3 linked regions of the Struthio camelus genome follow. The protein of the gene in region 1 interacts with the protein of each later gene in a pairwise test. Links are inferred from orthologs where the notes say so. Each region holds a gene or a part of one and is shown in the gene's direction. Other genes may lie near its edges.

What was found.
Region 2: the proteins of RANBP9 (region 1) and MKLN1 interact in a two-hybrid assay, tested with the Homo sapiens proteins (2 studies listed by BioGRID). The link is inferred for Struthio camelus from reciprocal best matches to the Homo sapiens genes RANBP9 and MKLN1.
Region 3: the proteins of RANBP9 (region 1) and OPRM1 interact in binary tests that used the Homo sapiens proteins (3 or more experiments, as listed by UniProt). The link is inferred for Struthio camelus from reciprocal best matches to the Homo sapiens genes RANBP9 and OPRM1.

The regions. Positions count from the first base shown.
Region 1 is NC_090943.1:97,936,125-97,943,944, reverse strand, and holds the start of RANBP9 (ran-binding protein 9), read left to right. Parts: upstream 1-4,786; 5' UTR 4,787-4,924; coding exon 4,925-5,369; intron 5,370-7,820. UniProt on the Homo sapiens protein: May act as scaffolding protein, and as adapter protein to couple membrane receptors to intracellular signaling pathways. Acts as a mediator of cell spreading and actin cytoskeleton rearrangement.
Region 2 is NC_090942.1:4,288,643-4,295,575, reverse strand, and holds the start of MKLN1 (muskelin), read left to right. Parts: upstream 1-3,868; 5' UTR 3,869-3,960; coding exon 3,961-4,052; intron 4,053-6,933. UniProt on the Homo sapiens protein: Component of the CTLH E3 ubiquitin-protein ligase complex that selectively accepts ubiquitin from UBE2H and mediates ubiquitination and subsequent proteasomal degradation of the transcription factor HBP1.
Region 3 is NC_090944.1:79,751,802-79,759,824, reverse strand, and holds the start of OPRM1 (mu-type opioid receptor), read left to right. Parts: upstream 1-5,017; coding exon 5,018-5,364; intron 5,365-7,069; exon of another isoform or gene 7,070-8,023. UniProt on the Homo sapiens protein: Receptor for endogenous opioids such as beta-endorphin and endomorphin. Receptor for natural and synthetic opioids including morphine, heroin, DAMGO, fentanyl, etorphine, buprenorphin and methadone.

The DNA.
Region 1 (7,820 bases):
TCTTATATTTCAACATTTAAAACATGCCAGCTTGCTTGCACCCTCAGTAGAAAATTATGATGACTCAGAAACAGCTCTTGACCTGCTGAGAATAACTTCTCTAATAGCGTGTTACAGTTTGATATCTGTTTTCACAAAAGGAATAAACCAGTGTGTCTCATCATATTTTCTATTTTGCACCCACATAAATTTGTCTTGTGAGTAAAACATATTTTACTCAGCTTGGAGGGCATTTTATTTCTGTGCTCATGTTGACATTTTAATTAGAATACGATGCTTGTACAGTGGCCCAGACAACAAAGACTACAAAATCTTCTATTTATGATCTTTCATAATGAACAGATGTTCAGTTCTCCTCAAACTGTCTTTTGTTACTGGGCAAAAAATGCCCTATGCACCAAAAAATGATCAAAAGTACTTGTTCTTCAGTGTGAAAGTGAATATGGTAAAGAGCTACAAATAACAAAACCTTGGAAGAAAAACATAAAGTAACTATGTATCAACTTTAAACTCATCAACAAAATGCAGCTTATCAAGCTAAATTCCAAACTGAAAATGATCTGACTTTACGATAATAACTTTATGCAGCTGGCCATCAGAAAAGGACAGATAGCTTCAAGGGTAAGAAACTGGATTATAGAGATTAAATGTGGTGAGATTTTGTTCAAAGATTAGATCATACTTCCATAAAACCTGAAATCCCAGTACCTCACAGTGTTCCTCTAGATACTGGAAGGGAAAAGAACAGAATACAGAAAACAAGCCCGTTCCTGCCATGTATACATGCTATTGTTCAAGTATCAAAACTAACTAACTAAATAAAAAACCCACACATGAATCATTGGCAACCAAGAGAGATTTCCAATCACTCTTGGTCTAAGATAAGCGCAGGTGTATTTGACTCATACAGCAAAATTATTTTCATTAGCGGATTGCTCAGTTTTGTAAAAACAGAAGCGCTGTGTTATGTGCGAGCAGCAATATAGTAATGCTGTAAATTGCAACTCGATTACCATTTGATTTAACAAAGTTAATAGCTGATGATGGCCTATAATTCATACGTAACTCATTTTTGCAAGCCTTTCATTTGTCAGTTCATCGGGCCCATACTATATATGAGCAATTAAATCAGCAGGAAAAAATAGTCCAAAATAGCAAAGGGCTCAGCAAAAATCCTCCAGGTGGTTTAAAGAGATCTGTCCTTAGCACTGTCGAAATACCATAGCATACTTCTTAGTGGTTTTCTTTTCTCATTAGGACAGCAATTCAGCACAGTAGGTACAAAGATAAATATCATACCGCTGATTTCCAAGCAGCTTCTTGAAGCATGGAAAATTAATTCTGAAACAGTTACAAAGAAAGTATGCATTGCACTTAAGCAGAAGGAATACTAAACAAAGAACAGCAAACAGTTACCATCACTACAAACGATATTACATTTCAGAGAGAAAGTAGCTGCAAATTTGTCTCTGTAGCAGCTACTAGCATCCACGCTAAATTCACATGTAACTACCATGAGGATCACTCCTAAGGAGGGACAAAGGACATGCACAGAAATAGAATCGCAAGGAGGATCCTGCCTCTGTTTCCTGACGACAGCCAGAATGCTATCGGCATCACTTGCACAGATGGCTATAGCCCACTTATTCACCCTTAATGAAAACACGAAGAGTAGCTAACACAGGATCCAAGAGTTAAATTAACCTCAGCAGTGCTGAAGTCATGCAGAATGCTCTGTTTTGAGAACAGGATGTGCTTACGCAACCAGGAATGTATTATTCTTACCGATACTGTCTAGAGGGTGTCAGTCAGGGGCTGCTCTGGCCTCTGTTCGAGTTCCGGATTCCCCAAGGAGAGGACTGACTGGAGTCCCTAGGGTGAGCTGATGTTCACGCAGTACGTTTGTCAGCAGGACCAGGGTCCTGGAGTGAGAGAGGGAACTAATCACCTGCGCTGATGTTAAAACCTCTGTCGGACATATTGACACCCTGTTGATATGTCCAACGGGAGACCAAAGAAATGCCCTCAATTGCTGCAAGGCTTAGATTGTGTTTTCTTTGGTTGAACGAGTCACTAAAAGTAAATGTAAATAAAAAGCACGCAGAGAGAAGACAATCTCCACATGTAGAATTAGGCCTGATCAGGCTTTCTGCAAAGCAAAGTAATTGCTAGCTGATCTATCCACTAAAATTCTTTGAAACTGTCAACAAACTCCACCCCAAAACCAGTGAGATATTGGTGGACTAGTTCACTTTTTATAGCATTTCAAAAGGCCTTTGATTAAGTCTCTAAGCCAGAAATGACTCAAGCAGCTAAGTAATCACCGGGCAAGAGGAAAAGTACTATCACAACTCAGAAACTGGAGACAGAAGACAAAGAGCAGGATTCAACAGCTAGTTGCTGTGATGGCAGAAGGTCAATGACAGCCTGCTTCAGGGTTGTGTAGCAAGTCTCCTATTGTTGCCGTATTTGCTACTGATCTGGAAAGATGATTGTATTGTGAGACTGTAAAATTTGCAGCTGTCATAATTGTTTCAGTTAAGCAAGACAAGAGGGGAATGTGATGATGAGGAAAACCTAATAAAATGGAATGGATCGTGTAATGGTAAATTAAGTTCAATGCTGAAAATGCAAAATAATGCATGTTAGAGAGGAAAACGTGTACTGCTTCTACATCTGACAAGTTCTAATTTATTTACATCAATTCAAAAGCAGAAACTGGCCATTTATGTAAATATCTACGTGACCTCTCTAATCCAAAAGAAGCTGTAGTCAGAAAACAAATAAGCTGTTAGAACACAGACGGAATAAATAACATACTGATTAACACCAAGTATTAGAATACCTCTATAAAAGAAATTCGTTTTCTCCTCAGGAACAGTGTACAATACATCCCACCTCAGAAAAAGTGATATGGACAAGGAGATTTCCATATCTGCCTCGGGGCATATTTTGAGGAAAAGGCACTTGTAAAAAAAAAAAAAGAGTGTTTTAATGGATTGGGACTATTTACCTTAGAGACTGATAAATGACAGAGGATAAGCAAAAAGAGTAGCAAATAACGTCAAGAGTTCAGCATGGAAACACCTGCTCTCCTGTCTCATTGTACAAGAACAGGAACTCGATGGTGGCAAATTCAGAATGGGTGACTGAAATATTTTTGCGCAAACATAAGTGAGCTTATGACACTTGGCTCAGTCAGGAGCCAAGGCAAAACAGAAAAAAAACCCTGAAATTCAGAAAAGGGTTGGATGTTTACATCTACATTTATGAACATAACAAGATGTCCCAAATCAAAACAGTGAATGCTAACCAAATGCTAAATTTTCTAAATTTAATCTTAAGCTCCTAGGTTTACACTAACCTCTAGATATTACAAATCAAACTTGGACCTACTGGGAGATAGCCTACCAGTGCCAGGATAACCAGGTAGGATCCAGTATGTATTCTGGCCTCCATCCTAGATGTTTCTACTTTCGTACAGTTTGCAGCTCTCTTTGATAGGCTATTTATAGATATCAGATTTTGCCGAGCCATAGATGCTACAAGTCATCATAGAGCTGTCTCATGTGACAGGATATTTTGGTGACTACAGGCACAGAACGATGTTTCGCTTCTTACAAGGCTTTCTGAGTGTCACACTCATATTACCTCATCTGCCATTTCACACAGTGGAAGCATAATTAACCTCCTCTATTTCCTGCTTCTGGACTTGTTCTCCAACAGGCTGGCAGCCGGAAATGGGTTTGTAAAGCGCCTAACATTTCAGGTTCTAGACCCGTCTGTGACATCCCCTTCCTCTTCTGGTGTTTTCAGAGCCAGGCTTTCCTGTTTGTAGGTGTTTCTCTTTCATTGTCACCACGTGAAATCTCAGCGCAGACAACCGCTGACATTAAGTATAGGCAAAAATATTCCTCAAAGCACAAGCCAAAGGAGAAGGGGGGAAGAAGAAGAAAAAAAAAGCCCAACAACACTGCTCTGCTTTTCCCGCCCTCGTCAGTCCAGGAACCCCCAAGCTTTCGAGCGTCTGCTGGGCCATCCCGCTTGGGCCTCGGTTTACTGCCGTCATGGCGACCGCACTCCGGCACGGGGAGCAGGGGCCCGTCCGGCGAGGGTCACCCCTGAGGCGAGGCCAGCCCCTTCGCCATCTCTTTTCTGCATCCGTCTGCGCGGACGGCGGCACAACTAACCCCCGAGGGCGGCGGCGGCGGCGGCGGCGGCGGTGGGAGGGAAGGGGTGTAACCGCCGCCGCCGGCCTCGCGCCCCGGCGCGCGCCCAGCCAACCGCCCCACAACGGCCCGGCCTCGCGCCCGCCGAGGTCCGGAGGCCCCGCCCCTCGCCCCGCCGGGGGAGGGGGAGAGGGAGGGAGGAGGAGGCGGGGGGCAGGGAGCCGAACTCAGCTGACTCGGGGACGCACGGCGGCGGCGGCGTCTCGCGCCGGGGCTGGACAGAGCGCGCGCGCGCGAGGCGCGAGGGGAGGGGAGGGGAGGGGAGGGGAGGGGAGGGGAGGGGGAAGCAGAGGCAGCTCGGCCGCGGCGCCTGGCGCGCGCTCTCCGCCCGCCCTCGCTTCCGCCCGGCGCGCGGCGCCGCTCCCCCTTCCCCCCTCCCCCCCCGCCTCCCCAGCGCTCTCCTCGCGCCGGCAGCTCCCTCCGCTCCGCTCCGCTCCGCCGCGCCGGGGCCTTCCCCCCCGCTCCCATCGCGCACCCCCGGGGGCCGCAACCGTCGTCATCGCCCCTTCCCTCCCTCCCTCCCTCCCTCCCTCCCCCGGACGCTCCGGTTGGGGGTGACCAGCCGTGTAACCCTCCGGCAGCGCCCGGGCCTGCCCGTCGCTCCGCTCCGCCCCGGGCCCGTCCGGTGACAGCCGCGACCGCGGGAGGTGGTGGTGGCGGCGGAGGAGGAGGAGGAGGAGGAGGCCGGAGCCGGGATGTCCGGGCAACAGCAGCAACAACAGCCGCCGCCGCCGCCGCCGCAGCTCCCCTTGGCGGCCGCCGCTCCGCCGGCGGCACCGGCGATCGCCCCGGCCGCCAACGCCGGCCCCGCGCCGGCCGCCGCGCTGCTGCTCCACCCGCCGCCGCCGCCGGCCACCGCCGCGCCGCCGCCGCCCGCCGCCGCCAGCAGCGGGTCGGCGGCGGCGGCGGGGCTGGGCCTGTCGGCGGGCGGCGGCGGCGGGGGCACCAGCAGCGCCCCGGCGCCCTTCCCGCACGGCGACCCGGCCCTCAACGAGCAGGAGAAGGAGCTGAAACGGCGGCTGAAGAGGCTCTACCCGGCCGTGGACGAGCAGGAGACGCCGCTGCCCCGCTCCTGGAGCCCGAAGGACAAATTCAGCTACATCGGCCTCTCGCAGAACAACCTGCGGGTGCACTACAAAGGTGAGGGCCGCCGCCGCCCCCTGCCCGGGCCCGGGGCAGCTGCCCGGCCCGGCCCCGGCGGCGGGCGCAGGAGCAACAATAACAGGAAACAGCACACGCTGCCCTCTCTCTTTCTTCTCTCCATTTTCATGTTGTTTTGTTTCTGGACCCCTAAATGGTGCGCAGTACGGAGCAGGAAGCTCATGCTTTTTCTTCTTCCAGCTTTATTTTCTATCCTTTCCCTTCCCCCCTTTGCTGCCTTGGTGTTTGGGGCGGGCGGGGGGGGGGGGAGCCGAAGGCCGCCCCCGCCTGCTCCTGCTTGTGGAGGGGGCATTATGTAAACTCTCCGACTTCCTCCGAGGATTCAGGTGTCGCCAGAAGGTTTGGGAATAAGGCAGGAGGATAAAGGAGAATCGGAATGACGTGTCCTGTTTATGGTAATGAGCGAGAAAAGAAGTGTGGGGTGGTTGTTTTCTTTTCTTTTTTTTTTTCTTTCTGTCGAGAAGAGTAAGGCTTAAATGGAGTTAAGAGCAGCAAGCGTTAAGCTATTAAACACGGAAATGATGGGGAGGGGAAAGCACAGAGAAAAACAGGTTTTATTTTTAAACTGTGAAAAATGGAATTAAAGTCACTGACTGTAGGCATGCCTGGGCATTGTACAGACTGCAGAGTGATTTCAGGGAAGGAGTGACAATAGGACTTACATGAAACAGGGTGATTTTATAGATTTGTGCTTAACCTGCTTCAGAGTTAAGGTTACGGATCTCCTAAGAAAAGATAAAAATGAAAGTATGTGTTTGTATAAATCAGCAGGAGGTAAGAGTAGAGAAACTTAAGTGCTGATTGTTATGAAATGTCATAGAACCTGGAAACACACGCGTACACGCCGACCTGAAAAAAACACAGGCACATCTGGTGTTCTAGGCCCAAGTCCTAAAGTAGAAGTGTTGGGGATTGAAAACCACTTCTGAGCTGGCTGTGAAGAATTGGATCTTTTGTCAGTCTGTAGTCAAATGAACGTAATGGGAGGGGAAAAAACAACCTTGCAATTACCCTTTCTCAGAGTTTACAGTAGTGAAATTCAAGTGAAATCTCGATAAACATGTTACTGTTTAATCAGAGGAGGAAAACAGCAACACAAACACATGGTAGGATTTGGCTACCATGAAAGGATTAAATGTACTCTATAAGACTTTTTTTTAACAGAGAGGCTTTACTGTTACATGCAAAATACTCTGTTAAAAATGCTAAGTTTAACGCACCACACAAAGCTAATAAATTTGGAGGTTGATGACTAGCTATAGGGCTGGTTTCAGGGAGGCACTGAGTGATTTAAGGACATGTTATTTAGTATTCAACTCCGAATTTCCTGGCTTTTGTTCAGTGTTTTATGACCTTGTATTTTTAGAAGCATTTTGTATTTTCTGGTGCTTAGTGGCTGTGGTGTTTTTCATGGCATGAGCATAGCTCTATGGCCACCAAGTCATTCTGCTTATTTGTTTTGCTTTGACTGACTTTTATTGCTTATGAACTAGAATTTAGAGATGGAACCTCTCTGGTCGGTCAGTGTAATTGTAGAAGTATATTTTCAAGCTTTCTTGGCGCTTTTCCGCTCTTTCCTCTCTTCTGTCTTTTGCCTAAGTGTTAAGAAAATCATACTTCAAAGAAATTACAGCAGGCTGCACGTGCTTCTGAAATACTGGTAATGTTCTGGATGTTCTACCAGAAGTCACGCAGCACGGTTGGTAGGTTATGATAATTAAGCACCTTTACTTAGCTGTTAAATAATAGTGTGAGGTGAAGGCTGAAGAGTTCCTAGATTAGTCCAGAGGAGTGTGAAAAGGAAAGGTGCAAATATAATATGTATGTACTTTTCTGTCTCTTAGCTGCAAATGGGAGTGAGTGGCCCCTTTAGTGGCCCATCTTTTCTTCCTGGTAATTTAATGAAGGTGGCTATTAGAGCAGTGCTATGTATATGTTACCAGCCTGGCACCTGGAGGTGCTAACCGGGCTAAGCAATGAGTGGTATCAGGGCATTCCTACCCATGAGACCTGGGAAAGAAGCAGCACTAAACATCTGCTACCTCTCCTCCCCCCCAGAACCCTCATCCTGAAGAATAAGATAAAAGAGAAGAGAATTAAGAAGGTCAGTGAGGAGAATAGGGAAGACAGAGAGAACATTTCACATGATTTCATGCTACAAATCAATTCCAAGTAGAAGTCTTGAAAGCTTTCAAAGTATCTTCTTGTGGAATACTGGCACTTTGTGTACTTCTGAAGCTATCTAAGCACTGATGAAAGAATGGAAGATGTTTTTCTTAGAAAGGGAATTTGAATCACACATTGAGTATGAATAAAGATCTGTTGTATTCCAGACCAACATAGTCAGGGGGAAGGAGGAAAAAGACAGGTCTGTCCAAAGCTCATAATCAAAAGCAGTTTTCCTGTATTTTCTGTTACCTTAATATATAG
Region 2 (6,933 bases), on another chromosome or scaffold:
CGGTGGCCTGCGCTGCCAACGCTATTTCCTCCAGCTTGTCTTTAAAGGTCTCTTTTCCAACAGCTGATCCGCTCTGCAGCTCCGGAGAGTACGTGAGATCCGGCTGGCCCACGGTCTAGCTGGTATGGCTGCGTGCCATGTTGTTGTTTGTGTTGCTTTCATTTTTTTGGCGTTGCTTGGCTCTTCCACGCAACTTGTTTTCATCCTGAACTATGCGCTCATTACATACCCAAACGCCCACGCAGGTTTGTGCAGGAGGAAACTCAAAACACACGCAGCAGTGGAGCGAGTCTGTGACGGCAGGCAAAATGTCTGTCTCCAGGCAGCCACAAACAACTGTCAAATCCCCGAGCTGTCCGCGGTCGGGTTTCAAGGTTTTCGACGACGAGCGTGATGTTGGCATTCGCACCCGTTTGCGCATTGTCCTGGCCAAGCAACGCGGACGACATCTCTTGGGGTCGCCCTGGCCTCTCCTGGCAACTCCAGCTACCGCCCCAGGCACCGTCCAGCCCCTCCAAACGCCGCAGGGACCTGTTGTTGCTGCTAGAAGAGATCTCACTTCCCCTCCAGAGCCAGAAATAGGCCTCCTCTGTAGGCTGGTTGCTTCATAACTGCCCTCTTTGGGGTTTCTCATGAGCTTCTCCAAAGCCACGTGTCTGAGCTGTGGCCAGAGGCGGTGCAGGGCAGCGGCGGTGCCACTGGACCCATCAGGTCCCATGGATGCGGCGTTGTCTTGGCACAACGTGGCCATGGACTAGGAGAGCGGGTCCAAGTAATCATGTTTTCCGAGTCCCTCTTACGCCACCGCGATCGAGCGCTGGCAGCCTCCCAGAGCAGGATGTGGCGAGCTCAGCTGGAGGCCGGTGGGCTGGCCAAGGATGTGTCACTCTGGCCCTCGGCACGCTGTGCTCCTCCCGCCGCGCAAAGCCTGCTCGGAGAGCTGCGGTGCTCTCCCCGTTCCCACCAGCCGGACAGACCGATCCCCAAAACCGGGAGAACAGGTCTGCCAGTGCGGTTTGCAGCCTCTTCGCTTCCTGCCCCAATCCTGTGCTCTGGAGGAGTAAAGATTTTCCAGAACTGTCACTGCAGTGGATTTCACTGGCGTTCGATTCCTTTCGTCAAAAACGTGCTAAAAATAAGCTGGCTCAGGGAGTAGGTTACTGCGTCCTGCCTGGCCAGGTCTTGAGGGGAGCAGTAACGGGATCCTGGGCAAAGTGGCTCCCGGGGGCGTTTTACCCTCACGTCGAGCCGTGAGCTTGTCTGCTGCTGCATGCCAGCAGCCCCTCCGCCACGCTCCCTCCTCGGGTGCGGGGCCCTCGCCTGCCGTTTGCTCCTAGTTCCGCAAGTTGCGTACGCAGAGGTCACAGGTTTGATTTCGGCATCGCCGAGAGCTCTTCTCGGCTCCCAGTTATGACATAGCATCTCTTATTCTGGAGCGGGTAATATCTTATTAGCGACATCCTTCATAAACTATTACCTCTGCAGTAGCCGGGGGTGGGGGGAAAAGAAAAAATTAAAAAAAAAGTCCTCAAGCAGAAGTCTCGATGAGTGAAATCTTAAACGCCACAGGAAGGCTGCAAACTTGCACACTCGTTACCAGAATGACTGAAGAAGTTTGTACTCGGTGCACGGCCACTGTTGCGCTGTCCTAGAGCTGCGCTGATACTAAGGAAAACGCTGCGTCCCCGCTCAGGGAACGGGTCTCGTCAAGGCATGGAGACCTTTTGAACGATGCAGTTGATGTTCAGCCGTCAACGCCGCTGAGCGAATTTTTCATCCGCAGCCAGGTTTCGTTGCTGTGTTCCAACTGTCTCTCCTAAAATAAGAGGAGGAGGGGGAAAAATCCTTGTGTTAATTTAATCTACTCAGGCATCTTTCTGTCCTGCCTGATAATAACTCTCCAATCTGTCATTTCCAACTGACATCTGTTTGTTTGCTTTTTTATCTTTATCTTGAAATACCTCCTTTCCTGAGCAGCCCAGAGGCGTCGCAGCGATGTCCCAAACCTTCCCCTTCCCTCTTAACCTCGCCGTCGGTGAAACCATCTCCCTTCTGCGGCTCCCTTAAAAAAAGAAAAATAAAGAAATAATTTAAAATGCAGAAAAAAACTTTAACAAGTCCTCCTGGAGACACCTGTCAAGGAATACCCACTTTACCAGCCGGGATGGCTCTGCAGGGGCGGGCAGAGCTCTCCGCCAAGTTATTAAATCAGATGATGCAGGAGGCATGAGAAACAGGCGGTGTTTTTTCCCATGGCAAGGCCCTGCAGGCCACTGCTTCGTGCAGGCAAGCTGCGGTACAGACTGGGGGAAAAAAAGCCCAGAAACAAGGAAAAAAATCCTTCTGACTGATTTTAGCTCCCGACGCTCCATTTCCAATCGCTTGCAAATGGGACAATTGGTAAAACAAGTGACTCCGTCCACGCACCAGTGAATCCGCTGCAAAGACAAAAACAACCACCCTGCAAACGCGTGCCTGCAGTGAATGAAAAGGCGGTGAAAACACGGAGGATGATTTGCCGCTAGTTTGTTCCACAAAACCATTTGGGATGCTCCGTCGTTCGTGTCGTCGGACGTGCAAGAAAGGTTACTTTAATCGATTTTACATCATTGTTCGAACTTTAATTCTACTTATTATTAACTTTTTATCTATTTACTGTCATGTATATTTAATTGCTTTAATCCATCTTTGGAAAAAATGAAACCCCAGCATTTTAACATGGCGTAATAAGTGTCGAAACAAGTTTCTTCCTTTTGGTGCTTCTTCTGCAGTAGAAAAAGTTACAGTCAAACATTTAGCTAATAAAACGGAGCAGGGGAGAACGACTAAGCTGACTTACGATACATATCAGCTAGAGAGCCAGCGCGCCATAAAATCCCGCCCCGGTTTTATTCGACCCCTTTCCCCGCTACGTACCAGCGGCTTCGGTCTGACGGGCCGGGCTCTAATTTTAAGTTATTCTGGGATGGAAAAAGAAGACACCACGGCCTAATTAAATCCATGCAGCGGTGCTTTGACTGGCGGAGGAAAACAGACGACACGCAAGAGATGAGGGAGGAATCATTCCGTCCCCAAAAACATAGCGACAAGGGTAAAAAGGATGTCTTGCCGTTGCTCGGGCAACGCCGAGCCCAGCGCGGAGGAGAAGCGGACAGAAGGAAAAGAAACTTCTTCACCAGGGCGAAATGAGCCTCAAGGTGGGGAGGAAGCTCCGGGATCACCATAAATTGCTGTGAAAATCGCCAAAACCCCACGGCTGCCCTTAAAATTAGTCCTGCGGCACGTCTCCCACTGGTGACCCGTGGCCCCCACGGTGCCCCATAGTGTGGCCCCCACGTCTCCCACTGGCAGTCTATGGCTTAGGCACCCCACTGGTGACCCACGGCCCCCACTGTGCCCCACGGCGTGGCACCCATGGGGACCCCAAGGCCCAGGCACCCCACTAGTGACCCAGCTCCCCCATTACACCTCAGGGAGACCCCAGAGCCTATGCAAGGCCTGGAAGACCCCCACTGGGGACACCACACCCCACTCGTGACCCACAGCCCTCACGGCCCCCAATGCACCGCGTGGCCTGCCACCCGTGGGGACACCACTCCCCATACACCCCACTCACGACCTCGGCCTGCGTGGCCCCCCCTGAATGCCCCATACCCCACTCACGACCGCGGCCCGCGTGGCCCCCCTGGCGCCCCCCAACCTGCATGTCCCCGAGTGGCCCCACTCCCGCCTCGTGACCGATAGCCCGCGTGGCCTCCATGGCACCCGCGGCCTAGGTGGCCCCCCAGAGCGGCCCACGCCGCCCACTCGCGCCGGCGCGGCCCCCTCACGGCCGCGGCCTAGACGCCGCCTGGCGCGGCCCGGCCCCGCCCCGGCCGCGCGGCCCCTTTAAGCGCGCGGGCCCCGCCCCGCCCCTGGCGGCCGCTGCCGGGCGCCGCGGCGGCCGCTGCCGACAACAAGATGGCGGCGGCAGGGCCGGCGGGCCCCGAGAGCCGTGTGCTGGGCTACACCCTGCACCGCTGGAGCAGCTTCTCCTCCACCTACCTGCCCGAGTGAGTGCCGCCGGCCGACCCCCCTGCCCCCCCCTTCCCTCCTGTCACCCCCCCGCGCCCCGCCGGCCTGCGCGGCGAGGGCGGCGCTGCGGCAGCGGCCGGGCCGCTGTGGCCGCCGCGGGGGGGGGGCTGCGGGGCGGCGCGGGCTCCTGGCCGTGGGGAGGGGGAAGGGCGGTGGGTGGAGGAGGGGGGGAGCGGGTCCGGGGGGAGCAGGGGGTGGGGGAGGGGGCCCCCGGCGGGGGGGGGCTCAGCGAGTGGGGGATGGGCGGGTGAGGGGGTTTGGGGAGGAGGGGCGAGTGTGGGGGGGGTCGGCGAGTGGGGGAGGGGTGGGAGAGGTCTGGGGGAGGGGCGAGTGTGTGGGGGGGGCAGCGAGTGGGGGAGGGGCGAGTCTGGGGGCTGCGAATGGGGGAGGGGCGGATGAGGGAGGGGTCTGGGGGGCGAGTCGGGGGGGGTCAGCGAGTGGGGGAGGGGCGGGTGAGAGGGGTCTGGGATGGGGGAGGGGCGAGTCTGGGGGGTTTGGGATGGGGGAGGGGCGAGTCTGGGGGGGTCAGTGAGTGGGGGAGGGGTCTGAGGGGACGGGTGAGTCTGAGGGGGGTCAGCGAGTGGGGGGAGGGGCATGTGAGAGGGGTCAGTAAGTGGGGGAGGGGCGAGTCGGGGGGGTCAGCGAGTGGGGGAGGGGCATGTGAGGGGTCAGTAAGTGGGGGAGGGGCGAGTCGGGGGGGTCAGCGAGTGGGGGAGGGGCATGTGAGGGGTCAGTAAGTGGGGGAGGGGCGAGTCGGGGGGTCAGCGAGTGGGGGGGCATGTGAGGGGGTCAGTGAGTGGGGGAGGGGCGAGTCGGGGGGTCAGCGAGTGGGGGAGGGGCGAGTCTGGGAGGGGTCTGCGAGTGGGGGAGGTGTGGGTGAGCAGATGTGGGGGGGACAGCAGGTCTGGGGGGGCAGGCCATGGGGGGAGGGGCGGACCATCGATGTTAATTAGATAAGGCAGCCTGTGGGGTAGGGGCTGACAAGCAGGTTTTGGGGGGGGCGGAGGGCCTATCCCTCGCTTGTGGGAGGGGGTCCGTTTTGTATGGCCTGCGAGCGGGGTGGGAGGGGGTGGCCCCCCCCCCCCAGGTGTGGGGCGGGCAGGGTGCGTGGCAGGGGAGGGCTCATGCTCCGCCGGAGTCCCATCCCGGGATCCCGTGTCGCCGTGGGTGTGAGGCAGTCTCCTTTCGACTTGCTGATATTAAAATTGGGGATGGCCGGGGTACAATCTAGAGGTGTGCTTGTCGGCGTGTTGTCCTCCGCGCTGGAGAGCAGGAGCGGGGTTAAAAATACACTCTTGGGACACTTTGGTCGTTGCAGGCTGCCGCAGAGCTTTGGCTCCCGATTGCATTGAAATTTATAACCTTCGATTGGGGCTAGAGGACTTAAAGACACCTTTCAACAAGACACCTTTCTCACTTTTGATTATATTTTGATTAATTTCATGAATTATCTCTGTAATCTAAAAGGAAGTTCGTTGCCAAAAGCTTTTCTGGCTACAACTTTAGTCGTTGCATCTCTTTATACCTTTGCTGGGTTAAGTATGGAGAAGACTTGGACCTCTTTTCTCATTGTTAGCCTTTGGTGAGAACTAAGTCATCACTCTGCCTTTTCCTTCTTGAAAAGACTTAACTTGCACAGAAAGGCATTTCTTTCAGGACTGGGATCGTTCTTGTAGTTTTTCAGCAGTGTCTCTGGCTTCCAGCATTGTATTAAAACTTGGTCCCTGAATGGGAGGGCGACAGTCCATTATTGATCTTCCTGATGCAATATAAAAAGATAAAAGTGTCTTTCTCCTTGATACTCCTTTCCAAGGTTCCCGTTAGTCCTTTTGCCACAGATTTGTGAGGAATTAATGCCGACATGGTATCTGCAGTGCTGCCCAAAGACCTTAATGTCATTGCCTTCCATGATACAATTCCCTTTTCTGTAATATGGTTGGTGTTTTACAAGTGTATGACCTTGCGTGTGACTGTTTTTAAGACAGTGTTTAGAAGAGCTTATCACCAATAGAAATAACTGGAACAAGTTTTAAGCTGTGTTCAATAATTCCAGCTGTGGGGTTATTGTGTAGCATACTGACCTTCATCCAGGGGGTGTCGTTTCTAATATTTATGTGCTTTCTTCTGGCCTGTAGTGAAAATATTGGATAATGTCATGAGGAGAGTGCCCCTTATGAAACTTTGTTTTTTTGCTTGATGTCTGCTAATTTTGCCTCTCTCGTATTCTGGGAGAGAACTTAAATGCCACCTGAAATGGAGGGGGAAGGTTCTGACCTGGGACTTAAGATTAGATTCTCAAAAGGAGAAAAAAAATTGTAGAGAAAACATACAGGGGGAAAATAGAGGAGGGAGTGCTGATGGAAATCCGTGCTGCAGGATGACTATACAGCTGCAGCTAGAAGTTTTCTTGGTCTTTAATACACAGATGAAAAGTTATGCTTTTGTGAAGGGGGACTAGGAATTCTGGTTACACCATAGTTTAAATAAGTTTGTTTACAAGCCTAAGTAGGAAGAAACCACTTCCACGAAAGGGACTTCTGCCATAATATGTGCAGGAATACACTACTGCTATGATGATATCGCTTGTCATTGGGAGCATGCTTACTACTGCTGCACTGTTGCTAGCAAAATGTGTTTTGGAAGAGGAACAAAATAGCTTACCCGTGTTCCGCGTAAGCTAAGTGCAATTTAAACACACTTCTTAAATACTTATATAGCTTTAAATGTAAAACAAAGCTATGAAATAAAAATTTTTCCTCTGTGCTCTTTAGGGGATCTGCATATCTGAAACCTGCTGCTGACCCATGTGTTCCGGTCTACAGACCGCTGTGAAATCACCTATTAAGCGTTCTTTTCCAT
Region 3 (8,023 bases), on another chromosome or scaffold:
AAAGAGTCACTGTCCCAGCTTACCAAGTAGAAATAGGTGACGAGGGTCACTAAGACAGAAGTCATGCAGATGACCGAGACTGCTTTTTTGATGTGATGGAAGAAAAAGCTGAAAACAGAAACCTCTACTTTCCACAAAGATAACTGACTGGAGACCAACACCCTGGATGAGCTATTAATACATGATTATTATCCATATGCAAGAAAATCAGGCAAGAATTTCAGTATCAAAATTCTTAAAGTCTTCAATTAATTTTAGGGATCGAAACTGTAATGAGCATGTACATACTCCTAGAGCTCCAGAATTCACAGTGGCATTCTAGGACACCCAGCTGCCGCTCTAGAATCTCTTCCTTCAGCAAATCTGTCCCCACCTGGCTAGCACAGAACACAAATTACTCAATAACTCCAAACGTACTGCTGTACATGATGCACACATAAATTTAACGGCAGGACTCAGGATAACCCTTACCCTCCCAAGTCAGCATCTGGTTCCCTCACAACGAAACATCTGTAACAAGGAAGGAAAAGCCCTGCTACATCAAAGCAATGATCTACCTTGCATCTAATATCTTGTCTCTGACACTGACTTGTAGTAGACATCTAAATTGAGCTGGCTTCACATTTAACTCCATGAGCACGTATCCATCTCCTCTTTACTGTAGCACACCACTGTCCTACCCTAGCCCCGCATATCCTGGATATTTCCTCTCACTGCTGCCTCCCTCCTAGCAACCGTGCCATACTCTGGCCTCTGTGTTCCTTCTCGTTAGTCATCACTTAACAATTACTCTTACCTCCTCTTCTGCAGCTAGCTCTCTGGTTTCTGCTGACAAAACTTTCATCATCTCTAAAGAAGAGGAGCTGATTCTTCAAAAGAAGAGCAATGCTAAACATTTTTATAAATCCTGAAAAAAAAGTGGAAAAAAAAGTGCTGAACTCTACAATTCAGATGATGAGTATTTCTCATCATCTGAACTCTGTAGTCTAAGTTATGCATCCAGGTCTCAGGACTGTGTAGCATCATTATATAAAAATCATATTTAAAGTTCCTACAGTTTGAACACCGGAGATTTTAATTATTTTTGGAGAGAAATACATTGTTTGCTTAAAACACTGGACTGAAATTAAGGAGACTGAGAAATGCTAATATCAATTAGCATCACTTTGGGTAAAAGAATAAATGAAGAAACACAACACAGAGAGATTATGACCTGTGTTACATAAAATATCAGACAGTATGACCAGAATGGTCCTTTCTGGCCACTGAAACTATAAATTAATTAAGAACTTTGCCTGAAAATTCTTAAATAACATTTTCAACACAACACTTTCCTTACATTGCACAGTGAGCACCACAGACTAGTCTGACATAGTAAGAAGATATAAGATCTCATTTTCTTATTGCCCAAGACCTTATGAAATTATTTTTTTAACACGGTAGAATTCTACACTCATCTTGTACAGGCGTAAGTTAAGGCCACACGTCGTCTGTTCTAAACGTGCACAAGTCTGCTCTGCCCAAACCCAGCCAAAACAAGAGTCGTGCAGCCTGTTCATATGGTATGTATGACTTAAAGTGCGCATCTTTGCAATACTGCTACCAAAACACTATCACTATATCGCCTTGAGGATGTCCTTCAGGAGAAAAAAGGAGGATCTGTCTTTGATGGGGTTCACAACCAGTTGAGGACTATGGCGGAAAATGGCTGTGGGATTACTGAGATCCCATCCTCCTTGCCCACTCTTGTGTAATGTCTCCCACTCCTTCTGCTCAGGACAGACAGACCTTGCATGGCTTTTGCTCTTGCACTTTGCTTGGAGAAGGAAAACTTCCACCAGCAAGCCTGATGGAGAGCACAGCCTGCTCCCAAACCCCTTCCTTCCCTGCTGCTGGAAGAAATGAGGTGCACCACCATAGGATAGAGATCACCTTTACAGAGTGCCAAGCTGCTACACCCTGTCTCTCAGCTCTGTTTTTTACTTTGGCTTTAAGTGAGGTGCATGGTTTCCATTTAGCTTAGGAATCCCAAAGAGACTGTGGAAGTGAACCTGCTTCACGAAACTCTGGTGTCACTGTGGATATATATAACTGTACCAGAGCAACTTCACCGACCAATACTCCCAGGACAGTCTTTAGGATACTATTTTCACTGTAGAATTTTGTTCAAGTTTTGACTCTTTCTCTGCCCATCCATTTTTAGTTACAGCTAAACAGGAACTTGCCAAGCAAAAATCTGATTTAACATGAAAGCTGTGATTCTGACACCAACCTGATGTTGGAGCTTCCCTTTAAGAAATAAGCAAACGACACCACTGCAGCAAGCATATCTTCACAGTCATATCCATACCAGGGTAAAACTAGAGTTCACTTAATACCCCTGTGTTTAACAGAGGTCTCAGCACAGACTTCAATTTTGCCAGGAGCATACTGGTAATCTCTGGGCTCTCTCATAGGTTTTCAGTCATGTACAGTCTCAAAGCCATGTCTTTCCCTTTTCTGTGTGCACTGTGCTACTACCCACAGGAAGGAAATACAGGTCTACAACTCCATAAGTACTTTTTCAGCAGAGTGTTGACTATCCAGACCTTCATTATCTGAATTTATTTGAAGAAATGGTCTCATGTATTATTATATTGAAAATGTCCTTCACCATCTGAAACCGTTACTGTTAAGATTTATTTCATATTGCCTATGTCCTTGAGAAATAACACTTGTAATAGCTTTGTGATGAGCATTTAACTATGTTTCTTTCCTTTACCTTTGAAATTTTGTCTAATGAGGCCTATCTTAAACAGGCTCAGCTCCCAGGGCTTGCTGCCAATCCTCTTTACAGTTCAAGTTTTCATCTGCATCTGCCAAGAGGTTGATTTAATCAGATGTATTAATTTTTCAGTCTTAAATGTTATAGTCTTGTATATAACACTAGACTAGAACACCCGGGCATCTGTTTTTAAGACTTTTTTAAGATATGCATTTTTAGACAACAGAGGCCCTTCTGACAGCCAGGATGATTGAAATATAATACAAATACGGGCATATGGGCTGTAATATAGGATTCAGACAGGACATCCCAGCAGCCTTGGGTTTTGTTACCCATCTTCTATCCCTCACACAGCCAGGAATAGGTGTACACATCCAAAGATACCACTGTTACAAATTGTGAGGCTTACATGAAAATCTTCTGATGACTTTGGTGGAAGAAAGGGGAAGTGCAGAGAGAGGCTCCTGCACTATGCACATACTCAAAAATACAAGTGTTTGAGAATGGCCCATTAAAGCCTTGTGCCTCCTGCTCTGTGTATGACTATGCTATACTTCATAAGGCGATAAAGAGGCAGTGATTTTGAGCATGTGAAATCTCCGAGTTCTTGCTTTCATTTCCACTCTCTCACAGATTTTTCCAGAGAGAATATAAGTCCTGTTCTAAAGCTCCTCTTTTTTTTTTTTAATATGACGTTAAATGTCTCTCTCATCAAAAGGATGCTCAGAATACTCTCTGTGGCCATGAAGCTATACATGTTATCTACAAAAAGCACCCATTAACAGCTTTAATTGATCTTCCTCCTCTATTCCATTACATCTCTGACAACACCTGACAATATAAGACTTTAAAAAAGGAATAGCCGTTACCCAGATCTATGGCCCTCTCCCACTCCAATGGCATCCTTTTCCCTTTTCCTCGCTTTCCTCCCCATGGCTAATGATCACACTTAGGAAGAGCATGTGGTCTACCTCTACTAGCATTACCTGCTCTAATCGACTTTAGCTGCCATTGCCTGTATCATGGAAGCGCAGGAACAACTCTGACTAAAACGTCTGTCCTTTTGCATCTCTCTGGTATGGTGCAACTCGCCTCCTCTTCTCCATTTTTGCCATTACACTCTTGAAGTAGCTGGAGGTGCTATGCACAGGGCAAGCAGATGCACTAAGCGTGAGTCCGCAATGAAGCAGGAGGAGCAATCACTCCCACTCTGTCACCTTCTTCCCCAGTTGGAGATTTTTTTCTCCCTTACCAAGGATCTCCTTTGATTTCATTGATGAGACAGTAGAAGAGCTTGGTTCTACTAATCAATGAAGAACCTGCAAGCAGTCAAGCAACTGAGCAACAAACTGAGCACAAAAATGTGCCGATGCAAATAAGGAGCGTGCAAGGCGAACATACTGCACAATACATGTCCCCAGCCTTCCAGTTTCGATACTTTTTTTGTGTCTTCCTATCTGATAACAATCACACCAATGTCTATGGGAGAGGATCCTTGGAGCAGTGAAGCACCAGGTCCTCTGAAAATTCTGAGGATTGGTGATATCCAAGTCATTTCTAAAGCACAATTCTGGTCACAATCCCCTCCCAGCGTGGTGCTGTACGGTTCACCACATTTTATTACTAGGCTCAGCGCTCTCTCCTCCAAGCTATATAATCAGAGAGGGCGACGTTTTGTCAAGGCCCCTGACTCGCGATGCTAATAGCTGCACACTGATCGCCTCCCCTCCCCAGCGTGCAGCCCGTTAAGTCATTCTGCCCGGGTGCCGTCTCACTCGGGTTGGCCACCGGTGCTTTCGGGGCTCGGGAAGGGAGCACTGTAAGTGCTGTGCGGGCAGATCTGCCGGAGCGCCCCCGCTCCTCACGGCCCTCCAGAGGCGCCGCAGGAGCGCGCCGGGCTCCGCGCCAGCTGCCGGGGGCGGCGGGGCTCACCTCGGGCAGAGCCGAGCCCGCTCCTGCGGCGCCCTCGGCGGGCCGAGCCGACACCAGCAACGCCGGAGCCGCCCGCGCCGCGCCAGAAAGGGCAGTGGCGGGCGAAGCCCAGCCTCCGGCCCGCCCTCCCCGCGGCGGCCCCGGGCTCCTCCTCCCGGGCCCGCCCGCCGCACACACGTGCCGGCGCCCAGCGGCGGGGCGCGCCGTCGGGGCGGGCGGGCACCGCTGCTGCCGCCGCCGCCGCCGCCTGCCCGGCACCGCCCGCGCCGCCGCCACTCGGGCTCGCCGCGCCGGCCGCGAGGCTGGCGGCCCCGCCGCGCCATGGCCGTCGCCTACCTGCTGGGCAACGGCTCCGCGCCGCTCCTCGCCGGCGCCCTGGAGGCCCCCTTCGCCGCCAACGCCTCGGCCGCCGCCTGCCGCCCCGCCGCGCCGCCCTGCCCGGCCGCGCCGTCGGGCGCCTGGGGCAACGGCTCGGCGGCGGCGGGCTGGGACCGCTCCGAGCCCTGCGGCGGCGGCGGCGGCAACGGCAGCGCGGGCGGCGGCGGGCCCTGCGCGCCCGCGGCGGGCGGCCCCTCCGTGGTCACGGCCATCGCCATCATGGCCCTCTACTCCGTCGTCTGCGTGGTGGGGCTCTTCGGCAACTTCTTGGTCATGTATGTCATCATCCGGTGAGTCGGCTGCAGCGCCCCGGCCCCGCTGCCGTCGGGCGGGCGGGCGCGGAGCTGCCGCGCCCCCCGGGGCCTCTTCGGGGCAGGGGGGACGTGCGCAAGGGGCTGTGCCGGCGGGGCGTTGGGGCTCCTGCCCCGGCGCGGGGGAGGGAGGCTTTTGAGAAAGCTGCGGGGCGAGTGGCCGGGGAGAGCAGCTCTTCAGACGGGGCGGCGGCCGTGACGACCGGCCGGGCAGCGCGGCCCCTCAGCGCCGCTTGGCAGCCGGGGAGGTGCTGCCCCGGCCCCCGGGGGGACGCGGCTGCGGCTGGGAGCGCCGTGAGCGAGCAGCGGCGCGAACGTCACACCTGGCCGCCGAGGCAGGAGGGCGGCAGGAGTGACTGTAGCCACTACCCGTGAGCGTCTGGGTATAGACACTCGCGCACATCCCCGCGTCTTTCCCCTCACCTCTCCCAAACAAGCAAAATGCAGACAGCGTCACGGCTAAGTGCCTCTGTCTTCTGGATTTATAGCTCCCCGGCCTAAGGCGTTGAGATATAAATATATATATGTGTGTGTGTGTGTGTGTCTGTCTGTGTATACATGTGTGTAGACAGATAGATGTATATAAAAGGATCGCGCGCACTATAAGGAAATCAAGCTATCCGGCAGTGCTGCACCATTTCGCAGCTTTCCCGCGCCAGCCGCGGGCGGGGGGCGGCCGCCGCCGCGCAGCGCGCCCAGGTGTTGCCCAGGTCCCTCACATCTGTCTGTGGCTTCCACGCACGAGAAACCCCACAGCGGTAAATCGGGATCCTCTCGCGGAAGGCGAGTGGCGGCGAGATTAAACGGGCTCCTTTACCCGGCCGGGATGGGGGCGGGCCGCTTCGGTGGGGGAACATCGCCACCTCCCGGGGACCCGGCCCGGCACGGGGGCTCACCCAGCGCCTCTTTCCTTCCTGGCTCCTCGTGGTTTCAACATCTGGAGGGACGCGGAGAAGAGCAGCCAGGGAGCCGAGCGGAGCCCAGCGGGGCGCTGCTGGAGGGAGTGCCCTGGGGTGCGCCCATCCCCGCCGGGACAGCCCCAGGCCGCCCAGTTTCCCCAAGTTTTCAAAGCATCCTTCACTTTTTCCCTTCAAACTGTACATTTCCCAAGGAGTCAGGGTAATAGGGAACTCTAAAAACACACTGGGGCTAGCTAGGCTGACATTCACTGCAGTAGGGTAGCAGCCACATAGCCATCAGTCTCGGGTGCCACGGCTGCAGGGACCTCACAGGTGGAAGCTGAGGCTGGTGCCAGACATTGCTCGCAGGCCAGCAGCACCGGGGAGGCTTCAGGGCACGCTCGGCACTGGGAGCACTAGCTAGAGAAAAGAAAAATGCTCAAGGTAGGATGCTGCAGCACAGCAGAGATTGGTTCCTTCAGTGTGTAGCAGCATGTTGGGGAGGTCAAAACCAGCATGGCTTGTAGACCTAATGCGACTAGAGATTACATTACATGCATCAGTGGTTCAAACCGTAGCAATCCACAAACCTAGTGCTTAACTACATTTTAGAGGCTGTATTTTAAATATACAGCACTGGGAAGATCTGTACTGCTGTGTGGTTTTGGTCAGCCTGAGACACAGGCTATTTGCATGTTAAGATACAGCTGTAGAAATGCTTCTGAACAGGGGCATGATTACAATTGTCTGAGCAAGTGTTGTATGCATCCTTCTGCGAGAAAAAGCAGATGCACAATATAACAGAGCCAGGATGGTTGTCGACAGAGAAATATGCCTCAAGTTGTCCCTGGGATTATGTATATATACTGGATATAACCTGTGGTATGCTCATATTTCTTTTATTTATTAACTGAATTACGCTTGCACTGCAAAGTCAAATTGAACAAGGCACCTGCATTTAGATACCTGTTTAAAGAGAGCGTCTTCCCAAAGATTACAATCTAAAAACAAAAGTCAGAAGTAATAGGAGAAAACAAAAATGTGTTTTCATTTTACAGATGAAAGTACAAGAACATTAAATGGCTTCTTGAACACCATCCAGAAATTGTATGGCAAAGACAGACTGAATGCAGGTCTGCTGTGCTTTAACGGCAGGAGCAGCTTTCCATATGACAGAGTTGCTTCCCAATTAATATCATGCAGCTATTTACCAATTTGGAATGAAGAAGAACATACATGTTATGATTGAATAGGATCTGTGGTTTAAGTAACACAAAAATGCATTTCCTTTCTATGCTTCTCTGTAGGTTTAGTCTACCTCCACTACAGTAGGGAACTTTTTTATTTATTTCCTGCTGCAAGGTGTACTAAGATGCCAGTATTCCCAGTCATTCCCAGTTGATATGCATGATGCAAATGATGAGTGCATGTGCTCATATATCCTTGGATCCAGCGGAAGATAGGAGCAAACCTTTCACTGGACTGAATTTGACGTCATATAAAGCTCCTTTTCTTTTTTTTTCTTGCACCACACCTGCTCAGGAAGAGCTAAGTCTTGAAGTTTATGTTAAATTTGAGACAGATTGAGGGTACTAGAAATCAGATTTTAAAAGCAAGGATGGATACCTAATTTACCCTGGAAATGCTAGGAGTTGGGAGGCAGGTGCTTAAAAATCTGAAACACTGTCCCTTACTCACCTCTGTTAATCTAGCCCCAGTGAAAGCAACAGTGACTTCTT